Oreochromis niloticus: one gene and its partner. Each later gene encodes a partner of the first gene's protein in a complex. Links are inferred from orthologs where the notes say so. Each region holds a gene or a part of one and is shown on either strand. Other genes may lie near its edges. The genes, in order: sart3 and ccnt1.

Evidence for each region.
Region 2: sart3 (region 1) and ccnt1 share a complex: the UniProt entries of both Homo sapiens proteins name them as parts of the 7SK snRNP complex. The link is inferred for Oreochromis niloticus from reciprocal best matches to the Homo sapiens genes SART3 and CCNT1.

Annotation. Positions count from the first base shown.
Region 1 is NC_031977.2:18,322,837-18,335,232, reverse strand, and holds the start of sart3 (squamous cell carcinoma antigen recognized by T-cells 3), read right to left. Parts: upstream 5,055-12,396; 5' UTR 5,029-5,054; coding exon 4,828-5,028; intron 3,518-4,827; coding exon 3,391-3,517; intron 3,300-3,390; coding exon 3,195-3,299; intron 3,111-3,194; coding exon 2,926-3,110; intron 2,679-2,925; coding exon 2,573-2,678; intron 2,166-2,572; coding exon 2,041-2,165; intron 1,944-2,040; coding exon 1,788-1,943; intron 1,647-1,787; coding exon 1,508-1,646; intron 577-1,507; coding exon 469-576; intron 364-468; coding exon 286-363; intron 198-285; coding exon 139-197; intron 1-138. Other genes in the region: iscua (iron-sulfur cluster assembly enzyme ISCU), read left to right, coding at 5,249-5,350, 5,519-5,632, 5,713-5,823, 5,933-6,011, 7,427-7,518; tmem119a (leucine-rich repeat transmembrane protein FLRT3), read right to left, coding at 8,038-9,408. UniProt on the Homo sapiens protein: U6 snRNP-binding protein that functions as a recycling factor of the splicing machinery. Promotes the initial reassembly of U4 and U6 snRNPs following their ejection from the spliceosome during its maturation.
Region 2 is NC_031984.2:6,829,229-6,842,223, reverse strand, and holds the start of ccnt1 (cyclin-T1), read left to right. Parts: upstream 1-7,287; 5' UTR 7,288-7,566; coding exon 7,567-7,739; intron 7,740-8,430; coding exon 8,431-8,512; intron 8,513-8,598; coding exon 8,599-8,727; intron 8,728-9,160; coding exon 9,161-9,221; intron 9,222-9,755; coding exon 9,756-9,818; intron 9,819-9,902; coding exon 9,903-9,957; intron 9,958-10,189; coding exon 10,190-10,353; intron 10,354-10,440; coding exon 10,441-10,511; intron 10,512-10,596; coding exon 10,597-11,907; 3' UTR 11,908-12,995. UniProt on the Homo sapiens protein: Regulatory subunit of the cyclin-dependent kinase pair (CDK9/cyclin-T1) complex, also called positive transcription elongation factor B (P-TEFb), which facilitates the transition from abortive to productive elongation by phosphorylating the CTD (C-terminal domain) of the large subunit of RNA polymerase II (RNA Pol II).

The DNA of each region.
Region 1 (12,396 bases):
ATAAAGAAGCTTACTTCTTTTGTTACATGATTTGACCTGGCTCATTCGACTGTGCTAACTGATTAACTCGCCACAATTCAACAACACTACTACACACTGCATGCTCCTGAAAACGGTTGTCATAGTAACACCGCTTACCTCTATCCGTGCCCAGATCTGCATGATGATACAAGAAGGATCACCACTTTCACCAAACCCTACAGTGACAAAGGAAGGTGAATAATGTGAAAACTAAACCAGGACAAGAAGACAGCAAAAAAACAGATGTCAGTGCCGTCTGCTTACGCTCTTCGACATCGTGTTTCATGTAGTCCAGAGATCGAGAGAAGGCTGCTCGTAATTCCTCTAACTCTTTGCTTGACTCTGCAAAAAAACCCACAAGGTAACACATCATCAAATACATTATTTGAGTTGTGTTTTGTTTTTTTCCTGACGTACAAAATGTTCATGACACAAAAACGCTCTCACCTTTACTGAAATCCACGCGTCTCCTCAAGTAGTCGAGGTACGCCTGCCAAATTTCCACGTAATCAGTAGCCTGAATGAAGCCTGCATTTAGTGCCTTCTCAAAGACATCTGCGTGGAAGACAAAAGAGAAAAATACACATCAGACGACAACATTTCTCTAGAAGGTTGTTAGTATTTTCAATAAATTCAAGGTAGTTTTAAAATGAATGAAAGACAAGCACACGTCTTTCATTATCCTTTATAATGCTAATGATTTAATAAGGTACAATTCGGGTTGTGTTTAGTTTCATCTATTGCCTGTTTTATGACTCTTTATGGGCTACAGTGGTAGACATAAACCATAAAAGCCATAATAAATCAGATTTGGATAGTCAGGTTTTTTTCAGAAAACAAAGAAATAACTATACTGTAAGTTAAAAAAAAATATTTATCCGTCTCACATGTATTTTTCAGGGAGCAGGACATATTATGGAGTGGACTAATTTTGCCTTTTTGTCATCACATTTAATATAAATGTGATAAGGACCGGTCTTCCTTAGAAAAAATAAACACAAAAATGTGCAGGCCTAGGTGATCTTATAATGATGGAGCCAAGTCCATCGAATCATTTTTTTAAACTCTTACATACTTGGAAGTCAGGCAAGGTTAAGAAAGGTTACATTTTTCCACATTTCATCAGTCATACAGCTCAATCTTTTTAAACTCAAACATAGTAATAATGAAACCACAAAACAGAATAAACAAACTAAGTTAATATTCATCCTGTGTTAGTAATTGCTTCCACAAATACTTGTAAATTCTTTTTATAATAAATGAAATAAACAAAATAATCACTTATAACGAGAACAATTATCAGTTTGTCTCTAAAACCAATGCACATCCATTCAGAATGAATGCAAATTAAATTCCACTGAAAAATCCTATCAATCTGTTTCAGTCCTATTTGTTATGAAGAAAAAAAGGAGTTCAAATAGTTTCAATATTGAAGGCAGCGGGGGGTTCTTGTGTGAACAGCTTCGAGCTGCGCTCGTGTTCTTACCGGACACGGTCTGATGGTCGGCTCCGTGCCTCTCCAGAGCGAGCAGGTAGCTCTTCCACAGTCCCATGGTCCAGGGGCAGTTCCTGACTGCACGTTCATGAGTGGAGAGAACCAAGTCTTTGAACTTCAGCTGACGATCCTGCCGATCACAGAGAAAGAAAAATAGTTAAAAATGGTTAAAACAGTCTGAAAAACGAACGAGATGAACAGCAAGGTTTTATACATTAGACGGGGGGGGGGATAAAGACGGCATCACATCAAACAGTGACCAACAACTCACGAGGTATATGGTGTATTTGGCCCACATGTCTGGCACCAGGCAGTTCTCTGACAGAGCGCGCTCAAAGGTTATCTGGATCCGTGCTGGGTCGCCCTCCTTTAGTTCAAAGTCGATGTAGGCCTGATATTCTGCTAACTTTGGAGTTTCTGCTACCATCTGCAGCAAAACAACAGCAGTGTTCACAAAAACGATCAACATCATTTAAAAACATTACACAGAACGAATGGACATCATATTTAGCAAAGTGCATTACCAGAGCCTCCTCAAACGGTTTGCACTTCTCCATCTGCTGCAAAGCTTTCTTGTACTGATGCATAACCGTCTCAGGGACGCCATGTTCGGACCACTCCTCATATTCTGCGTAGGTGCCTTCCATGTCTACAAAGCAGCAGAGCACAATTATCACAGATTTTGCAGGAAATTTACTCTTTCAAGATTGGATATAAAAATACAAACACCGCAAATAATTACACAGTCAATAGTCATTTTTCAGTTTTGCAAAATGTTCTACTTTATCTGTTGCTTTACTTAAATTTAGAGATTCAAATGTTTCAGAAACGGCACGGCTCTCCACTCAGAGAAAAACAACACGATACCAAACCATCCGGTTACCTCTCTAGTAAACTAATGAGGAGTGCACTCGTCACCCTGACATGTTAATTTTATCCTAAAAGCCAGCGTCATAACTTTCTTTAAACCGGGTAATTTCTGACATATGGCTCTCGCAACAGGAATCTGTCTCATTTTACAGCAACCAGTCTGGCCAGAAGACACGTCATGCTTACCCATTAAAGGGATGGCCAACTGTCGGCGAAACAGTGTATGGATTCGCTCAAGCTGGGTCTTCAGCATCTCCTGTTCCTCATGGCTGGGAATCCTGCCAGGGGGAGGCTGAGAGGAAAGCCAGCAGAGAACATGGTGTTAAAGCACAAGCCATTCAGTCAAACATGGAAAGAATTCAAGTCAGCAATCTGAACTGAAGAAGTGTTATATTTGACAGCAATAACATGGAAATAAAATTATTTACACTAGCTTTTAATTTCTAAGACAATATGGCATATGTACACAATCAATACAAAAACACAAACATAGCTTATGTGTGAATGGTGAACTCTGTCCTAGTGACGGGAACACAAACCTGCACTGTGGACAGGATGGCGTTCTCAAACTCTCTGTACGCCTCCCACACCATCTGTCCCTTGGTCATGTGAAGCCCCACTGCTGTCACCGCCCTCTCAAAGATGGATCTCACCCTGTCGATTCCGCCCGGTGAGCCCATACCGCCGATCGAGTACTGCGCGTACTCAAGCCAGATATCGGGACCTGTGTGTGTAAAGTTAAATGTTAGGATTGTGTAATTACTAATCATCAGGCCGGAAGGTGGTGGCGATGGTGTTGCGCACTCACAGATATAGTCTTTAACAGCTCTCTCAAACAGCTCATATACTTTCTCTCGGTTTGGCTCCTCCTCAGTCAGACGGATTTCATCCTTGAGCCAATCCAGCCAGATCTCTGGGGGATTAAACAAAACAAGGTTTCAGTTGTAAATAATGCAGAGCCGCTTATTCCTCCAACCCCAGAAGCATGTCAGGCGTGCACCAACCTTCAGTGAGAGGGAAAAGCTCACTCATCTTCTGCCTCGCCTTTCGCAGGCGGAAAAGTTCCCCCTCTTGCTTGAGCAGCTTGATAAGATCCACATGGCAGTTGTAGTCGAAAGCGTTGATGGACAGCTGAGGAGTTACACAAAGATGAAGAAGGAATGAGATATGTGACAATGCACTTCAGGGGTTTTGTAGGCACAAAATCACAATCGGTTGGCATGTAAAAGCTACTTTAAGCTGTTCTCGCATTCACAAGAGGTCGCCACAGCAGATAGCTCCGCATATTTGATTCGGCCGAATTTTTACCGTTCATGACGCAACCTCTCCCAGGATCCCACCAGGGATCTTTTGTTTCTTAGGTGAACACATCAACTGCCACAATTGGTTTGCATGTAGGAAAAGTGTGTTACCTTATTTAATATATCTCTATGAATTTAAAAATATTTTTCATGAAGCTTGTTGGCAGGCCAAGATCTCTTTGGTGAAAATACAAATCTGTTATATGCAGAAAAATCCCTGCACTTAAACAAAGTGTATCCTAAACAATCCATGCTTTATTTTATGTGTTTACCTCCAATTTATTACCACCACAAAAGAAAATAAAGTTCACTTATAATTCATGTAATGAACTATGAGAGTTCTCTTTTAAAGTGTAATAACATTGTTGTTGTTCTTCTTTATTATTAACAGCTGCAAGACTACAAACTATAAAACTCAACCCACTCCTTCATGAGAGCATATGTTCATATTTTGTTGAGCTGTTGACTGAAAATTCAGGTAGTTTCGTGGGTTGCAGTTTGATCTGTTGGACTTTTGTGCTACATCAGTGAGACTGAATATTTAAAACATATCTCTGTATATAGCACAGTACAGTCAGCAGTACCACACACTGATGCTCGCAGAGGGACTCGTGTACAGTCATGCAGTTGGATCTATATTTGAGTGTATTTGTAGGTTGCTACACCTACTACACAGTCACCAGCGAAGCTGCAGCAGCACTCTCCGTACTTAAGACTACAGCAGATTCAATGTTATGTGAAGGGGTCAAACCCACTGATCACGTGACGCTCATTAAAGTTAGCACAGCGTGTACTGTTTTTGTTTGTACTGTACTTTGTTTCTAACCCACACTAAACGCTGGGATCCCACCGTGGACCGAGACTGCAAGAAAAAAGGCGCGTGTGAATACGAGGCACGCGAACTACTAGCATCGCACATTAGCAGGGCAGCTAATCACGACAGCTATGTAAATGACGTGGTTGTATATTTAGATGTTTTTGGTTAACGAGAGCTACCAACGCCACGTATATTTTCTGCCTTTACTCGACCATGTCATGACGGAGGAGTTCGCCGCTTTGACGCTGCCTACCCGATTGTGGCTGGCCGTGTTTACCACCCATTCATTCTCATTAGCCCCTCGGCTAACGCTGGCTAATCACCTGCTCCTCAAGTCGCTGGATCTCGGCTTCATTTTCTTTCTCGTCCTCTGACGAATCGTCCTCCTCGTCTTCGTCTGAATTTTCCACTCCCATGCCTTCCTCCTCGTCTTCGTCCGATTCCATCTCCCTCTCCTCCATCCCTGCATCTTCCTCCTCCATATCTTGCAACTGCGTTTGCTCTGCGTTGCTTGACGCTGCCATGTTGGAAAGGCTATCTGCCTGGTAACAGCCTGCTAGCAGCCAGCGGGACGATGAGAGGCGGAGCCCGTCAACACGGGTCACCGTCTAACCTCGCCCGTGGCCGCTAGTGGGCGCTCCCTAGTTGTGTAAAACCTTCTTCTCTTATTTGTTTGTCAACAAAAGCCGTTCGTGCTTCCTCGTGCTCACTCGTTGATTTCCGTTCGCAGTTGGTGCTGGAAACATGGCGAACGTCTGCCTACGAAGCTCCTCGTCCTTGCTGCTGTTTTTCAGCAGGAGGATTTTCAAACCGGAGCTGAGCGCTGTCTGCTTGTACCACAAAAAGGTAACCGAGTGAAAATGCGTCCAAACCCGCTGACGTCACCTTACTTAGAAAGAGTTAGCTGACATTTATCGTGTTGTTGTCAACTGGTAACAGTGCCCTGTCTGTCAGCTGCTACACCAAGAGAACAGAGATATATATTTTTTCTGATAAGTGTGGCCTCTCCCTAAGGTTGTGGACCACTATGAAAACCCGAGAAACGTGGGCTCCCTGGACAAAAACTCCAAGAATGTGGGGACTGGATTGGTGGGTGCACCGGCATGCGGTGATGTTATGAAACTTCAGGTAAACTGGAAGTCAGTAACAGAAACCAATCCATTATCATGTATTTGAAATTCCCATGTTTGACTCTGTTCTCTTTGCAGATCCAAGTGGATGAAAATGGAAAGATCATCGATGCAAAGTTCAAAACATTTGGCTGCGGATCGGCCATTGCTTCCAGTTCTCTAGCAACAGAGTGGGTGAAGGGGAAGTCGGTATGTTAAAGTACCAAACAAAGTACAGGCAACCAAAAAATGGACCCTAAAAGTGCTGTTTTCTCCACTCTATTGTAAAGGGTCTCATGAATCTGCTTTTGCCCTACAGGTTGACGATGCTCTGAAGATCAAGAACACAGACATTGCCAAAGAACTCTGCCTTCCTCCAGTCAAGCTTCACTGCTCAAGTAAGTTCACAGTCGTTATTAACATCTCTTAAGACAGGGGTGTCATAATATATATCATATATCAAATCTAAGGCCCGGGGGGCAGAATCGGGCCAGCAAAAACTTCAGTCCGGCTCACACTGGAAAATGTGAATTGTATTTTCATTTCAAGTTTTGTAGCTTTTCCTAATAAAAGGATCTCCACTGTGGCCATTCATACTACACCAAAATATTTTAGGTCAGTTAACAAAAAAGACAACAATTTCTTACCACTTAAGCACAAAGTGTCATGCTGGCCGATTTCTTAAATTCAATATATCAGCATTTCCTAATTGTGTAGAAAACCTGAGAAATATGATTTAAATTGCACTTTTCTTCTTACATTAAGCTATCTCAGGGATTAAATATGTAGTTGAACAGCTTTACAACAAAAAGATCCCTGGTCCAACCTACTTAAGATCAAAATGTGCTGTTAAGTGTCCAAAATAGCTTCAGGGCCATGCACACCATTCTTTTTTTTTTCCCAAGACAAATTCTTTCTCTTGCTCTGTTTGAAAGCACCTACATTTATGCTTTCAGATCAGGTGTTTCCTGTAATAAATCATATAATTTCAGCCATGGGGATGATAAAATCCTGTACGTTCTAGTGATACTGGATTTTATGAAAATTGTAGCTGTACCTCTAGGTATTGTTTTTGTGATATTTAACAGTGTTATGAGATTACACGTACAATAAATATATCTCTAAACAGTGTTGGCTCTCTCTGGGTACTCTGGTTTCCTTCCACAGTCCAAACACACGTTACATCCACTCATCATTGGCATGAATCTCATGGTAATTTGGGGCTTTTAATGATTTCTTTGAACTGTTGTTTTTCCGGGGTGGAAAATCTTTAATGACTTGATGAGTTCTTAGCAGGCTTGAGCCTCAGTGGTCCCTGAGTTGTTTCTGAACATCTTAACCAATTTCCTCTCATCTGAGGGTGACAGTTTGGGTTTTCTTCCAGACTATGACAAAGTCACAGTTACCAGATCCCGTTTGTGTCCTTTTAACCCTGTGTGTGAATCAGAGAAAGTCCAAAATAAATTCAAAAGAACAGTTCAAAGAAATCTTTAAAAGTCCCATATTACCATGACATTCCTCCCCACGACAAGTGTAAACTTCTGACCACATCTATAGGTTAACTGATGATGGTGTGAATAGCTCTGTTTCTGTGTCTTAGCCATGCAACAGATTGGTGACCTCTTCATGGTGTACCCCATCTTGCACTCTATGGAAGATTGGATGGATGAATGAATGAATGAGTGACTGTATTAATCACCCCTACATAATGTTTATATGAAATGAAATCAAATCGCCCAGTTATCATGAACTGAATGCTTTTTGTTTTCCATATTATGCTCATAGTGTCTCTAAAATCTTCTTTTTTTTTCAGTGCTTGCAGAAGATGCCATAAAAGCAGCACTGTCAGACTACCGGCTAAAGCAACAGGACAAGAAGGAGGAACGTGTTAAAGCCAGCAATTAATGCTTTTATTCACTGTCTATAATAATAGATTTATCCTATTGTTGGATCATGCCTCTCCTAGTGCCAGAGCAGTGCAGACGGGTCGCTGTAATCACATCACATTGGATCTTGCATCCGTTGGGGAATTCTCCACAGGTGTGGGATCAGTCTCTTGAGTTTAAGCCAAGGGTCCCATATTGTTCAAGTGCCAGATGTTAATAGCGTTTATGGATTCTTTTGCTTTTATCACACAATTAGAATTGTTTAATTAACAATGACTTCATGGTGAAGCTTAACACTTTAATACACACAGCATTAAAGACATCTTTAATGAAGCAGGGGTGTGGGTTTGTATATTTTGGCTATGAGGCTCTATCTGGCTCACTTGTGAGACAATTTAGGTCCCAGATGAAAGACTTGGTATGAGAATGTCAACAGTTAAAGTTTACATACAAAAAAAAGTTCAGAAAATTTGTATGAGGTGCTTTGCTTACTGTGAATAAACAGATTAAAAGACTTTTCAGTGTGTGTGTGTAAATGTCATCCTGCTGATCCTGAATCAGCAGGAGCTACCCTCTGCTGACGCACGAGCACCTTTTTCAGCACGAGCAGCACTGCCAGCATTACGAGAGCCACTAACACACACAGCACAACCAGCAGAGAGATGATCGCTGCAGTGGCCTGCTGAGTGAACGGCTGTGGGACGAGAGTGGGCACGAGTGCATCTCTGTGTGTGGAAAGCAAGAACTGTGTCCCCTCAGCAGGGGTTACATTACTCTGAGGGTATCGAGCTGTGATGTTGTCTCTGCACCTCTGTTCCTCCTCAGGGAGAGAAGTAGTAGTCTTTAAATGGAAGGGGCTGACTGACTGACTGTTATTTAGGGATAAACACTCCTCATAGGTAAGAGTCTCTAAAGAGTAGTGCAAGACACGTGTCTTGGGAGAGTCTTGATTACTGTTTAGAGCTTCGGAAAGCAGTCCATTAGTGGTTAGTTTTGATATTTTCTCTGCTGGCTGCGCTGTTAGCGTCCTCTCCTGTGCAGAGCTGAGGTCACGTTCATGTGTCCTGTCATTTGGCTTCAGGACACGAGGACAAATGGCCACGACAGAGAGATTCAGAAGCAGACGGTGGGCAAGATGATCAGGCTCTGTGCACACAATGTCTGTGGCCATCTTAAGCCTACCGCTCAGCAGCCAGCGGTACAGATATAGAATGTCACACTCGCACACCCACAGGTTGTTGGTGAGGTCCACAGATCTGAGACGTGGCAGGCTGTCGAAGGCGCTCTCTGGGACTGACCGCAGGCAGTTGCTGTTGATCTTCAGGACCTGCAGGTTGACCAGAGCAGACAGTGAGGGCAGGTCCAAGGCAGAGATGCAGTTTTCTGAGAGGTCTAAATGGGTCAGTGATGGTGGAAGATTCAGGGGGAGACTTGTAAGCCTGTTCCCCTTCAGTGTCAGGACCTGCAGCTTGTGGAGACCCTGAAGTGCCCCGGGCTGGATGGCACGAATACGGTTGTCCTCTAAGTCCAGGCGAGTGAGGTTTCCCAGCTGCCTCAGGACACCTGAGGTGATGTAAGTAATGCGGTTTTCTTGCAGCTGCAGGGACTCCAGGCTGGGAGGCAGGCCACGAGGGAAGCGGGCTAGCAGATTGTGACTGAGGCTAAGCTCCTGGAGGCCGGAGAAGGGCCAGAGCTGGTGGTCCACATTACAGAGCTGGTTTCTGGCCACAGATAGAGCTGAGGTACTGAGAGGAACCGAGCGAGGGAGTGATCTCAGGCCTAGTGACTCACACAGAACCAGAAATCCTGGGCGAGGGCAGCAGCACCCAGTAGGACAGGGAGACACTGCAAGGCAGGCTAGAGGACAGATGCAGAGAGCCAGCAGGACACCACATCTGCACCAAAGCATGACTCACTGCAAGAATAATGCAGGACAGAAGAGCAGTTAGATGCATTTAGAGGATATGGTTCCTCTAAAAGTTCTATAAAGGAAGGGGTATAATGTTATAATATGGCTTTATTAAAGGTTAATAAGCAGCTGAAAGATCCCTGGTTTGATCCAGGAAGGACAGCCAAATCCCACTGGGGTTGCATCAGGAAGTGCATCTGATATAGAAACTCTGCCAAAACAAACACGTGGAGCCATCTGCTGTGGTAATCCCTTGTGAATAAGGAAACAGCCAAAAGCAGCTTTATTATAGGTTAATGAACCATTTATTAACACCAGTACTCCACCAGCACACTCTGGTACATGTAATGACCTTATGGAAAAGAGCTGCAGAGTGTAAAAACCATTCATGGAATTGCCAAAACTATTTATAAAGCCACTTCTTACGTCTTAAAAGCCCATGATAAGGTGTCACTTGTTAGAAAGTGATGCCAAAGAGTGAAAACTGCCTCACTTACCATTCTTCTTTCTGTGTATTATCTGCTCCTCCAAAGAGACAGGCAGGAGTGCTTTCCCATGCTCCCTAAGTGATCGACCGTCCCTCTAAAGATAACCGACGTTGCTGATAATTCCAGGCAGATGCTCATCAAAGTTTAATGACAGCCTTAAGGAGCTCTGTTACCTGTTCTTGATCATCTTCTCCATCCAAACTGACCGAGAAGTCCTTTTATTCGTCAGCTGTTTTATTATGAACAAGCTGAAAATACAAAAGACATTCAGAAAAAAAATGGTATGAAAAAAAGGATGTCCTAAATATTCTCCTGTTGGAGCCCAGCTAAGGTGGAGGTTATTGAACTTAGTGACTTTAGTGAAGATGTGCTACAAGAGAGCGGCGCTGGGTGGTCCCGTGGTTTGCATCTTTCTGGAAGGAAGAGTGAAAGTAAGGGGGTAGCATTTTCTCGAATTATTTAGCACCTCATTGATAAAAGAGCAGGGAATCTGAGCCCGGTGTAAGGCTCTGTCTGGGCTCACGTTTCAGCCACCACATGGTTACACTTGCTTTTCAGCTGGTGTGCTATCATGTCCTGTTTGATCTTTGGCAGTTTGACCTACTTAAGACCTGAAAGGAGTTTTATGTTTAAGGATTAAAAAAAAAAAACATTCTTATGAATTTTCTACATTTTTTTTAAACAGATTTCAGATGGCATCATGATTTATCCATGTCACACTGGAAATAAGATATATTAAAATACATAACTGAAAGAGTTCCACTCTTCATACAGCATCAATATTTCATTACTTGCTCAAAATATGGAACAAAAGGGATTCGACTTCTTATCATGATTCTGATGGGAACAAATCAGGGTCCCCAAGATTTGTATAAACAATACATGAGCTCTTGTTTTGTGCCAAAGGGTCCGTATGTATCTGGATTACTGCTATTGAAATATTAAACAATTCTGTACATTTGCCAGCAAAGGACAAAAGGGGCTCTCGTCATCTCCAGGCTCGAGTACCTTCGTCTGCAGTCCTGCAAGGTGATGGTGCCAGCGGCTTCATCCTGGCCAATCAGAAAGCTCTGGCAGTGGGTTTTGGGGTTTTTTTTTTCTTTTGCAGATCAGGGGTTTGAAATGTGAAAAGAGAAGACAGCTTATATCATCACAGAGCAGATATCACAGATCTGGCATTTCGGTAATTACCTTAAAATAGTTACCAGTGATTTCTGTGTGGACACAGGTCAAAATTACAGATTTCCAAGTGGAACATAATGTGCACGTTGAGATTGTCCTCTTTTTTTCCGGGACCTTCCTCGCCTTTTCTAATTGTAGGTTTCCACAGGGTTGTATCTGTGCTTCATTTGGCGTAGCTTCAGCCATTTACGCTGCTTCATTTACAGCACTTAGAGACATCTTTTTCGATAGCTTTATTAAATATATGCAAAACAAAACGGTCTTTTTGTAAACAATTCAAGTGTCAAAAAGAAAGCAACTGTGGTTGAGGTTAGGCGGAAAACAGTATGTCAGCATGACAAAAGCATTGGCACATAATTCAGGCTTAGATTAGAGACTCAAGGTCATTAACTTAACAACAGGACAGAGTAATTTAATCAAATAAAATCAGATAAGAGAGACAAATATGCATCTGTCAAGCCTATACACGTAAGCTAAACACGCCAACTGTCTATCCTTCTACTCACATTTCAAACTTTTACACTTAAAATAAAAAAAGCATAATTTATCGTATACATAAATGTACTAATTATTTAAAAGAAAAACTTAAACATTTGTTTTCTACTCCCTACTTTTTTTTTAAATACATTTGCCCATTGAGAGCAGGTCAAAGGTGTAAGCCAAATAAATATGTACAGTCATTGTACAAAGAAAGCGCACCCTCTTTCAGTTCAAGCCAGTTCAGAACAGCATCTTGTGACATATTACAACATGTCATTGATTTAACAAAGACTAAGCCAAAATGCAGAAGCAGTGTGTGAAAACTAAGTCCACCCTTCCATTATGAAGTAAGTGGGTAACTAACAGCCAGGTACTGCTGATCAAATGCATTTGATTAACTAATCATTGGCACGTTCATAAAATCAGAGGTTTGTAGGTCTGTGGTATTCAGGTGTGTTAACACAATGCTGAGGATGAAATACATCAGCAACAGTCATCAGTGTGGGAAAGGTCATGAGGTCACTTCCATCAAAGTGAACTCCATCACTCTACAGTGAGAAATATAATTCACAAGTGGAAAATGTCCCAGCAAATTCACCACAAGGTCCCCGGCCACCAAGATCTACACCTCAGAGTGTGCAGGCCTCAGTTAGCATGTTAAATGTTAAAGTTCATGACAAAACAATTATCAAAAAAAGACTTAACAAATGTGGCTTATTTGGAAGGGTTGCCAGTAGAGATGCTTAGGTTTGAGTTACATCTGATTAAACCACAAGACCAAAGCAGACATGTGTGGTCACTGTGCACAGCACCATGTTTGGGGAAAACCGAACACAGC
Region 2 (12,995 bases), on another chromosome or scaffold:
GGGCAGCTGTATCATTTAAAGTAGTTGAAAAGCACATTTTTGGATTTTTTTTGTAATGACAAAATTGAAGGGGCGCAAACAGGAGCTTGTAAACAACGCAGAAGTTTCTGAGTTTTAAGATTTTTGCTCATCGTTTCAACTGCTTTACAGCCCATTCTTCTAATGTATATCAAGCAAATACAGCAACAAGCAGCTACTTTACAGTAAAAGTTGGTTGATTACTCGTCATATAATCTCAAGATAAACTGCTCAGTGAAATCTATAAAATCATTTTACAAATGAAACCATCGACGGGGTTGGTATGTTTTGTTCTGAAGCTGTTGCGTAAAGTTTTCCATGAGTGAAAGAAAAAAAAGATGCTTTTTATATAAACATGTTTTTGTTGACTGTTCCAGTTATGAGGAAACCTGTTATGGAAGTGATAACCGATTAAAACATCTAGTAGTTTACAGTAGAAGTAGGAAAAGGAGGATTACTGACTGTAATTTGTTCTAACTGTGTGTTTAACTGTACTTTTGATTGATCAGATAGTCTGATTGTTTTTTTTGGAGGGTGGTGGGGGCATCACTGATACACTGCTTCAGTTATCTGTCCATTTTATAACATTTTGTGATTTAAAATAAATTGTTTTCAATTTTTTGATACCTGCGTCCTCGTCTCATCACTGTTGTGACTGGAGTTTGATCATCAGTGTGGACCATTTTAGTACTAAAGAACAAATTCTGTCGAATTGTAGTTTGTATTTTGCTCAGTTGTTTATTATCTTTAAATATGGCTGGAGTTGTGTGTTCATATTTCTCTCCAAGTGTGTGAACATTAAGAAATGTTATTTTTGACCCAGAGTCAGGCCAGTTAGAGACCCCAGTTAGAAGTTGTATGATTGTAAGGTTTATCTACATATTTCACAGAGATAACAGAACAAGGCAAATCTGTATCTGGAGTATTGATTCACATGACAAAGAGCTTTGAGAGTGTAATTACCCCCTGGTGAGCACTGATGAAGCACAGGGATTGGAGTCAGATAGCTTCACCAAAGGGGGCGCCTGACACACGTCATAGGATGCAGCCGACAGTCCTTGTCTGAGTGCTAAACGCACGGGCGATATAAAGTATTTAATTTCAATTTTGCTAAAGTAAAATGAGTTTTTGGGTCACTATAAAATGCAAGTAATAATAATTTACCATAACCTTTAAAGTAAGAATTACAAGAGCAATTTGAGTTTGTCTCTGAGTTTTTCCTGTTTTAACATTTTTGCTTTCCTATATCAAGCACATTCTGCTGGTGCTTTACAGGGAATATTTTTTTCACCTAACATTAAGTTATTAGTCATATTACAGTCTAAAAATAGACTATGTAGATATCTTTCAAATGAAACAGTCATTCTGAGCTGGTTTTAATGTAAAACAGCTCCAGAGAGGTTTAATTATCAAAGGATCAATTCTTTACTCATTAAAAGTTTGGTTTCAGTGAAGTTTGGGTCACTTTGATCCTTCCTATTTTCTTTCTTTCCATAATATCAAACAATGTTGTGATAGGGATAACAGTTTAAAACATCTCGCTTACAACTGATGGAGGATGAAGAAATAATATTTCTGTCCCATTTTGATAAAATGTTGCTGCATTAACACATTCTAGAGTTTTTAGCTGCACTGTAAAATCTCAAATAACAACACAAACACTGTCTGAAAAACAAAAGCAGTAAAGCGGTTGTAACAGGAATGACCAAAAATCCAGATGAGTGAAAACCAATAAGCCGCGATAAAGAAGATTTGAAGAAAATCAACACTTTTTAACAACTTGAAGGCTCATTTGGGCAACATTTCTGCTGTGTATGTTGCAATCAAATCAAGAAAAGTTTTAAAAGTGGTCGGAAAAATCCTAAAATCAATTATAAAACATACAGGAAGCCACTACAGAGAACTGTGATTGGAATGATTCACCCCTAAAACCAGCAAGAAGCTTTGCTGCTGCATTTCTAACTGTTTGCAGACGAGAAACTGAAAGGAGAAGAAAAAGCGAACAAGACCAACGTTAACATTAACAAAATCAGCATTTTCACAGTGAGTACATTTAAATAACAGTCTAATACCTGCAGTTCAGTGATAAGTTTTGTTGTGTAAATGAGTGCTCACTGTTAAAAATCATGTCCACTCAGAGTTATCTGTATTTTAAACTTCCTGATGATCACCTCATCACTCCTGCTAATGTGCCCTAACAAACTGAAACCCCCCCTCACACCTACAGAAAGAGGCCGCTCCCGCTTGAAGTTTCATGACACAATGAGGGCGATCAGTCTGAACAACTCTGTATTGATATGCAGCAAAAACTGCTGCGGGACAGAGACAGCCTCGACCACCCAAATACAATACAATCAGAAGTCGGCTTTCACCATTAGTACTCGTCAATTATTTGACACCTGCATGGCTTTTCAGTCTGTCACCAAGCACATCTGTTTCACTGTGAAAGCTCCTGCTAGCTAAATGAAAGAAAAATGAAAAGGATTAAGAGGTCTCAGCATTCCCTGCCTGGATATTAGCAGAGAAGTGGGTACAAAAAAGAAAAAAGAAAGAAAATAAAGTGGTAGGCTGCAGATGACCTCTCAACAGGAAATATGGGGTTTGTTTTTGACATGTTAAAATTGACCTTTTCAACTTTTATATTAAGGTGAAATCCTTGAGAATATTGGCCAAATTACCAGATTTAATTTTCAATAAAAAAACGGAGGAATTATATGTTTCACCACTGACTGAACACACTGTAATGGAACCTGATCAACATGACTTAATGGTTCAATTTGCGATCTTTTTATAAAACCTTTTTCTTTTTGTATCCACGTGCTCCAAAATATTGGTGTGCGATAAAATTGTTATGTGACCCCTTAAAACATATGTACGCATGCACGCACATATATATATTTTTTTTAACAGTTAATGTAATTTCAAAAATGATTTCTAATTTTTGTGTTAGAAAAGGCAGTCCCACTTTTAAATGGTCTTCCATAGTGACTCCCACAGTTTATTGGACACTTCTCTGATATTTTTTTGAGAAATTTGTCTGTTTGCAATGATTTAAGAAACATCAACTGCAGTTAGTTGTTTTATTGTTTTATTGAAATTCCTAATAATTTACTTTGACACCTGTGATCAATAATCAGCCATCAGAGGCTATATAGTATAAATATAAGTAGAATATAAATAACTACTAGTATAAATTGTCACTTTTTCTCTATTGCTGGTCTAACCTTTATATCACTGTTATAGTGATGGGTAATAAATGCAAGTGAAATACATAAACTGAGAGACTTTAATAACTAATCTGATCTCAGATGACTGAAGAAGAAGAAAGACACACTTACAGCAGGAACAATCACAATCAAATGTAAATTATGATCCTTCTAAGAGTCCGAAAGGAGGGTTATACAGAATATGGCTATTTGTCAAATGTATACTCAGCGAGCATGCAGTCTCCTCAGTGTATGATGGGGAGTAGGCTGCTTGATTTATGGCACTCATTTCCAGGTGAAGTGCTGCTTGTGACTTGTTCCAGATGCAGATGTGCTAAGGTAAACACATAAACTGTATCTTAATAGACGTGTCAAAAACTGTGAAATCTTGCTTATTAGATTTTTATCATTCTTTCAGTTAAATATAATACACATGCTCTAACCAAAACTCCAGTAGCCATCTAACAAGATGGCTTGTTTGTCATTAAAAAAACACACATTTACAATATTTCAACATTACTATGGCACTACAAGGTTATTGCAATAACCCTGTAATTATGGATACTAATGATAATCTTATAAGAGTCCACCGGGTCTTGTTAACCTAACCCAGGTAGGGTTGGGTTAACATGCATGTTAATGGATTTTGACTTATTCGGTACATCCAACAGGTTAGAGTCAGATCCTCTGCAAGGCCAGAAAGTGCTTGTTTGAGAGTATTTTTTAAGGTAAAATCCTGTAGTTTCTACAGTGGTGTTTGTTTATATGGTTTAAATATCTAATGAATACCAGTAAATGTTATAAGGCTAAATGCAGCAAGTAACACATTACAGATTTGTAAACAAAAGAAAACGATGCAACCTCAACATATGTCGTCATAGAAAATCACTGCAATGGCCCACTTATGTATTATTGTGAATTTCAATACTGGAGGGAAAATATTTGCAAGTATTTATGCTTTTTAGTGTTCCCAGTCAGAATTGACCAATCAGTTTTAACAGCTCTTAAAATTAACATAAGAAACATTTTTCACCACCAAATTCAGTTCAGTGGGTCGTTCAGGGGGTCAGAGGCCAAAGGGGGGTGGATTCCCATTCATTTCCTATGGCAGTCACTTTTGACTGGGAACACCACAGATGTAACAAGGTTGATTAAAACACTCAAAATTCAATGAAAGAGGTGCTCATCACTTTTATATGTTCAAGTGCGTAGTGTGGAGGATGTCATAAGGCCTTGAGGCAATCAGATGTAAAACACAATATTTATGAGTGTTTTAATTTGTAAATTTGTCAGACATGACAGGAAGGTGCATTTGAGCAGTTCCTTGTATAGTTTGGATGCTTCTTTAAGTGTTGTCCAGAATGGATCTATCACTACTCATATTGTTCTGTTTAGCTACAATTTAGTGACTGCAAATGTTCAATTAGCAGCTCTTACAACAGTGTTAGTGTACGACAAACCAAACTTTATAGCCTAGTTAACACGTGTGCTGTCCTTTTCCTTTTCCTCTCAGAAAGAAGTACCAAAAATCTTTTGATTTGGTGAATGGTGTCGGCTGTGATACCACCAGTTCTGAAAAAGACAGGAATGTTTATATAACCTTGAGGAAGGCTTTCCAAGTTCCCCATGCTGTGTGTTTACCGCTGCCTTCAAATCATAAGGTAGTGTCAGATACAACAACAGCCTTCCTTTTCTGTAAATTGGCTGCAATGTCTAAAACACTTGTGGTTGGTTAGTGACTGAAAGATTAGTGATACAAGTGGCAGAAATGAGCTTCCCTATAAAGTGTCTGGATTCATAGAGATAAGATGAAAAGTAGAGCTGCTACTCCTCCACACTGAAGGGCATCTGGCTAAGAAGCCTCATATCTCATGTTGATTCTTTACATAACTGTAGGGGTTTGATGGGCTAAAGAGGCAATCATTTAACAGAGATCAAGTGAGGCATCATTTCATGCCTTAAGGTTACTAATGCATCCATATCTTAATTTCTAGATAAAACAAAAATGCATATTCTAATAAATAACTCAGAGTTCGCTTGAAAAGACTTGACTGTCTTGTGGGTGACTTTTTGTAAAAACTTATTTATTATTATGTTCAATTTTTTGAAAACTAGTCTGTTTTTCAAGCCAACTAATACTGAGTATCGTGACTACCCTGATACTTTAACAATCTTGAGACTTTCACCCACGACGTCCCTTGTGTCATGCTGAACATGACTGGTGCTCTCATCTGAGAAGGGGTTACCCAGTTCCTGAAACATTACGATCATTGCTTTGTTGTGCAAACTGATTAAATTGAGGAGGACTGATATGGTATTGTTTAGCTTTTGAGCACCTATTCAGGAGAAGTTTCACTCATCATCCATTAGGGTAGATAATCATATTAATCAAGGAAGATGATTAACCTCTTTGATCATTTGCCTTGATCATGTCAAGTGTTAATCAAGTCAGGTGATTAACTAGATTGTTATTCCTCCTACAGCATCATCTCATGTACACGGATTTTTGTACTGCAGAAATCTTTAGTGCTGAAGGGAAAATCCCAGAAAAAAAATCTGGGACAGCATGGCTGTCGGGACGAGGTTAGTGTTAGCATAGACCTTTCCAACATAGCACTATTTGGTTATGGACAGATAGACTAAGACTGTGATATTAGAGGCTGACCAAAGAGGCATATGAGGGAAAATGGAAGGGAATGTAGCTCTCTAAGTGACCGTGGCTAATCATATAACTGGCCACCATTTATTGCCCAGCGTTAGCATGTTTTCAAAAGCCAGACACACAAGCCTGGAGACTGGTTGATGACACCCCCCGATGCACTCCCCTCCTTGTGGCCTCCAACTAAAATTCAATAGTACGTGCTGGGGAATACACATTCATCCCTAACAACTGGTAATTGGCAGAGGGTGTTTTATTATTCTCCAGGCCTGCTTGACTGGGCCTTAAGGATTTTGTCGCCACATGTCCTGCAGTATTGGCCTTAAAATTCTCCTGTACTGGGGTGAAATGATGTGCTGTGTGGAGTCTTCCAGGAGAAACTGGGATAGCGTGTCTGTAGATTTGAGTTCAATTACAATTATAAGTTTGATAACAGAGAACTTTGCCAGTATAGTACACTCTGGTCAGGACAGATGTTTCAAAACTTGGGGACCAATTTGAGTGGGAGTCCTTGCCAGTGTGAGTTAAAATGTCTTAGTGCATGCTCAATTATGCAGGTAGGGAAATCCTAGTAAGTTCATTCTGTTCGTCAGGATTTATTTTCAGAATCAACTTTTTGGCATTACCTTGATGCATGCTTGGATGACCAACCATGCATCAAGACATCAAGCCTACCAATGCACTGGTCTTGTTTGTTAAGCAAGTTCAAAAGCAGTAAATGACTTGCTGTGTCCCATATGGCTTGGAAGTCAAAGGTCAAAACTGGGAGTAACGTCACTCCAGAGTTGGGCATTTTACTTTTTATTAAAGTCTGAAAACCAAGGATAAACCTGATTTCTTTTACTGCTTAGCAAGGCATAGATAATATAGTTGCAACACACTGAAGGATAGAGCCTAGTCAATGCTGTACTGTACAGATTAAAGGTTTTACAGTTTTACTACTCTTTATGTACACTGCCAGTCTTGGACTGGTAGGATGGGGCTGGTGGGGGATCTCTGACTTTAAAGTTTCAGTTGAAGATTCTTACTGAGAACTTTAATATTCGACTTCCTACTTCAGCTATTTGTTGCAACTTGTCTTCTCCTCTTATGTGCCAGATGGTGGGCTTAAACTTCTCACCCATGGGGGCGGGCCTAGGTGCCTAATGCACTGGTTTTGTGAAATCAATGATAATAGCAAGTTTATTAATGCAGCACTTTTAAAATTTTGATTTAGACTGTGTTTCGCAATAGTTTTTTTTTTTTTTTTAAGTAATAGCATTGTTATTAGATTCCATTCCGAATCCTACTTGAAGTTTACAGCTAGGGGGCGGGGTTTGGGAAGGGGCTTGTGGTAAGGTAGCACCATGAGTAAAGGTATGAGCACTTATAGTCAGTACCCTAGGAAGAAAAGTGGGCGTATACTGATGCAGGACAAGGAGATTCACCTCTGGGGCTGTGCGGTGTATGGAGCACAGAGGCTGTAGCTAGCTTACCGGAGGTTTCGCTTTTGGCTATTACAGTGTTATAACAGGAGAGATCGTTATTGTATGAGACTTTAAGTACTTTAAGTTAAGTTTTGAGACCCCTCTGCGCTTTGGAGACCTCTGCTGGACCGTCGCTGGAGGCGCGCTGACGTCGCCGCCCGGCGTGACGTGTGTTCCTGTGACGCGCAGAAATTTTAAACTCTCGTCCTTCTCAGTGATGGCGGCTTCGTTTCGCTCTCTCCCCGCAAGCAGTAACAACAAATGGTACTTCACCCGGCAGCAGATCGACAACAGCCCATCTCGGCGAGCTGGACTTGATCCCGACAAGGAGCTCTCGTACAGACAACAGGCGGCGAACCTGCTCCAGGACATGGGACAGCGGCTCAATGTGTATCCTTTTGTCGTGAGCTCTTGTTAGCTCTCTAACTTTAGCTTCTCTCCCGAGCCGGCTAGGAGAAGGAGTGTGGCTGGTGTTTGTTAGGTTGTTGTTGTCTTTTGTTCGACGGTTTCACGTTTGTTTTTGTCTTCCACGTCTGTTTAACGCTGTGGAATTTGGTTTTACGAGGTGTACGTGAGCTTACAAGCGTTACACGATAGCGGCGTAGTGGGCTAACCCTTGGGCCGCAGAGGCCTGTGTAGTCGGCGGCCTCCAGGACGTTAGCATGTTAAGCGTTAGCTTCACCACTGGTAAATATCAACGAATAAACGCAAATTAGAAGGACAGTGGGACACCTTTAGAAATACAGTAATGTAGGATGTTTCAGAAAAAGTGTTTTAGATGTGTTAGTTTTAGAAAACATCGCTTTGTGTGTTATCAAGAGTCTTATCCCAGCTAGCCTGTGGCTAAAGTGTTGTTTAACTTTGTTATTCTGTGGCTGATACGATAACAGGCTTACCTACATTATATTTTATACCTAATTAGCAATATTAAACCTATAGTTATCCTTATAACTATTTTATAATTATTTTATTTCACACGTATACCGACGTTTCCAGCCCATTTTCAAAGTATGCAGTCATTACAGATGTTATGTAATTTGCTCCCACTGTTTACCTTTTTTCCTTAACTGCCATGTATCAGCTCTCAACTTACAATTAATACAGCCATTGTGTACATGCATCGCTTCTACATGATCCAGTCCTTCACTAGATTTCACAGAAATGTAAGTAATGCTTTTCTTGCTTGAATCATGGAAATGATTGTACTTAATGTGAATCAACTTTTTAAATCTCCACTGCCCCTTTCCAGGTCATCGCACCCGCTGCTCTGTTCCTGGCAGCAAAGGTAGAGGAGCAGCCTCGAAAGCTGGAGCATGTCATCAAGGTGGCCCATGCCTGCCTCAATCCTCAGGAGCCTTCACCTGATGTTCGCAGTGATGTAAGTATTGTACTGCAATTGTCCGAGGGAGTTTTTTGAAGCAGAAAAAAAATTCTTACAATAAGGCAAATGGCAATCTTCTTGCATGTAATCTGAGAACATTTACTCTGTCACGTATTTGTTCTGAGCTGTTAAGGCTGCTTGATTACATGGGTTGAGAGAGTAAAAGGCAAAATACACCTTAGCCTGTGTAGGTTTTCAGTCATGCAGGCAATGTGATGTCTAGCAGTTGTAAAACTCGAGCATCTGTACTTGCTATGTAGCTTTCACTTTTCATCACTTATATCTGAGGCTTCTTCAACAAACATGTATGCCAGAAAGCCTTTCAGACAAATGATCAGAAATTCTCGGCCACATAACGTGTACAGTTGCTCTTGTTTTTCAACAATTGGCGGCCTCCCAGTGAGTAACGTGCCTGTCCTCTCAACCTCAGGCCTACCTGCAACAAGCCCAAGACCTGGTCATTCTTGAGAGCATAATTCTCCAGACCTTGGGTAAGTTTGGAAGGAAGAACTGGGTCCCTTGAATTCCCCCCCCAGAGAACAAGAATAGTTAACATGTTTTACTTCAATTCACAGTTTGCAGTAAGCAGCACTGGAAGTGATATTTATGCTTCACAACCGAAGCACCCACTTTTACATTTCCTGTTTCAGCCTTTTCATTTTTGTCAGCCCTAACTTTTGACATTTTACCTTTTTCACCTGTGTATTTTTAAGACATTTAAAAGGGAGCCTCAAAACAACTTTTTTCCCCTTCTTACATGCCATTAATTTTTTTTTTCATATTCAGGTGTTGACATTTTCATGTTGTCCAGGATGTTTTCCCATGAAAAGTGACACTCCACTCAACTCTGACTCCCCACCACTTGATTTTTAACACGATGCTAATTTTCTGGTTTTCAGCGCCTTTGTTAATGTTATCTTTGCCAGTGGGAAGTGGATTTGTATTCCATATGGATTATAAGTATAAATTGATTTTGCATTTCTTTTATTAATGTCTACCTACATTTTCTTCTCTTTCTATTACAGCTTTTGAAATCACCATCGATCATCCTCATACACATGTTGTCAAATGCACTCAGCTTGTCAGGGGTGAGCATCATTTTTTTGGTTTTGCTCAATTTTATCTTCAGGTTTTTGCTGTGTCTATAAATTTTTTCTCTCTTTGTTCTGCTGTTGTTCCAGCAAGCAAGGATTTGGCCCAAACATCATACTTTATGGCCACCAACAGGTATGCTCAGAGTTCACCCATAGTTCTCTCTCTCTGTCTCTCTTACACACGCACGCGCACACACACGCACACACACACACGCACACACACACACACACAGGGTTTAGTCTTTCTTATGTGAATGCTAGGTTTTCACCAAAGTTTGTGTGTGGTTTGTTAAAGCTCAACACACTGATTTTCTGTTTTCTCTTTCCCTGTTTGCTTTTTTTCTTGGACGTATCATGCCATATAGCCTGCACTTGACAACGTTCTGCCTGCAGTATAGTCCACCTGTTGTAGCCTGTGTGTGCATCCACCTTGCCTGCAAATGGTCCAACTGGGAGATCCCCGTGTCTACAGATGGCAAACACTGGTGGGAGTATGTCGACCCTACAGTTACCCTTGAGCTGCTGGACGGTATGTGCAATAAATGCTCTTTAAGAAAAAAATGTTTAGATAATTAAAGGGCTGATTTGACTTTTTTTTTTTTTCCCCCACTTCCAGAACTTACACACGAGTTCCTGCAAATCCTGGAGAAAACACCCAGCCGACTGAAGCGAATTCGCAACTGGAAGGTACAACACAAATTTACCTGCTCCTTTTTGTTATTAAAAATTCCCGATTCAATGTGGACATTGACTGACTTTTTTCTTCTTCCAGGCTGGCGGACAGACACCAAAAGCCAAGCCAAAAGTCCAGGAGGAGGGTGACCAGAGGGACACCATGATCAGCATGATTTCCATGGCTTCATCAGAGAGTACTGTGGCAGGCCTGATGAGCCTCTCTGCTCCACCTTCTGCCTCCTCTTCCTCATCAGTGGGCGACAAGGACACGAATGCTTCTGGCAGTGCTCAGACTTGGAGTGGAAAAGGTCAAGGTGGATCTGAGCAGCAGTCACAGCAACCACAGCAGCAGCCTAACCATGAGGTCCACGCCCCAGCTAAGGTGTCGCTGAGTGAGTACCGTGCCAAGAATGCTGACGTCCTGGCTGCCCAAAAGAGAAAGTTGGAGAACATGGAGGCCAGCGTAAAGAGAGATTATGCCAATGCAGCTCAGGCCCTCATTGGCCAGCAACAGAGGAAGGAGAAGCAGCAGCATCACCATCATCCACCCAGCGCTTCCTCTGACATGTCCAACCCATCACCCATTATTCTTAAAATCCCCTTGGAGAAGGAGAGGCATGATTCTCTAAAAATGCGCTTCCCAGTTGCTGGAGGATCAGGAGGAAGCAGTGGACATAGCAGCAGTGGTCGAGGCCAGGATCCAGACATCAAAGTCAAAATCCGAGTGCCTGACAAGCAGAGGGGGACTTCAGGAGAGGATGGCAAAAGCAGGGACAAGCACAGGGAGCGTTCTAACCACCACCACCATTATCATCACTCTCACCACCACCATTCCTCTTCCAGTAGTGCCTCACTTTCTTCTTCACACAAACATTCATCAAGTTCCAGCGGCACGCTGGGAAGCAGCAAAAAAGTACCAAGTGACTCCTCTAGAACAAGCTCCTCATCCTCGTCCTCATCCTCATCTGCCTCACGCAAGAGGACACACTCCCAGGATCCTTCAGCGGGATCTCACCCACCCTCCAAAGTGAGCAAGTCTAGGAATCCCTACCAGTTACCTCCCCTGTCTTCCTCCTCCGGACAAATTTTGGGGCATGGTTCTGACATTCTTCCATCTCTGGGCCTCCCCCACCACCAAGGAAGCTATTCGCATTCCAAAAGCGACAAAACTGACACTAATGGTCACAGTGCAGCTGGCGGAGCCCAGTCCAACGAGTACCAGGACACTTTTGAGATGCTAAACTCACTGCTGAGTGCACAGGGTGTGCAGCCGTCCCAGCAGTCTATGTTTGACTACAGATCTCAGTATGGTGATTATCGGTACTCGAGCAGCTCCAGAGGAAACAACCCTAGGCCCCCTCCCCTGCCCACGGAGCCGCCTCCCCCACTGCCGCCTTTGCCCAAATAAGTTTCTAATCAGGAAACCACATTATGTACATTTTACTTGACATCTTGATCATCTTGTTACATAAAGTGTTGTATGATATTTTCCAGCCACCCAACATTTTATAGTCTTCAGTGTGACAGCAGAGAAATGTACTGGGGGTAACAAAGGATTTTATGGCGTACTCGTGGGGCAATAATGGGACTTGCAAAATGTGAGACAAAAAGAATTATGGGAAAGTGTAGATAGTGTTTTGTTTTTTCTTTTTGAAAAATTCAAATGATATGTGACAAGAAGACGGGAATTAGAGGATGTCAATGTGTTTGGAAAAATTTCCATGACATACCTGGTTGGTCTTCTAAATGATTCTTTTTATAATGTTTTTATAGGGTGTTATTTATTGATCAAATGATTTTAAAAAAGAAAAAAGGTCCCCTTTTTCTACCTTTTTGTAGGGTTAAACCTCTGTTCTTTTGGAACAGATGGTCATTTCTTTAAGACTGTACAGCCTAGTTAGAGTGCATGTCTCCAAAGCCATCTTTTCGATATATTTTTTACTTTATTTTATTTTTTCCTTTTTTATTTTTTTTTGTGAGCCATAAAAATGGCTTCATCCCTTATGTATATGTTATATTTGCTGTGCTATTTGGTGATTTGAGGAAAAAAAAATGTAAAAAAAATGTTTAAAACAAACATTGGAACCTTTATATTTGCAAATTTGCAAAAAAAAAAAAAGGATGTAAATTAGGAAAAGCTTATACTTTTCACTTTAAGTTTTTATGTCTTGCAGTCATTGTTTTAAATGGTTGTAAAATATTCATATTTGGTTCTTGAATGGATACACTAAGTTCATAGCAAGAACATTCATCTGTTCACAAACGGTTGAAACATCTGTGCGCTTTGGTCACAATGAAGGAAATGCCAACAAAAAGAGCATCTGTCTAGACTATTTCTCTTTCCTTATTGTGTTTCCTCAGGAGTTCATTTTTTTAGGGTGATCACAGGTAAATGCAAAGACAAAGAAATAAGCATCATATATGGAAATGTATAATTTTCAGAAGACAAGAAATTATGTCAGGAAAAACTTTTTCCCAGATTTGCTAGACCCTACT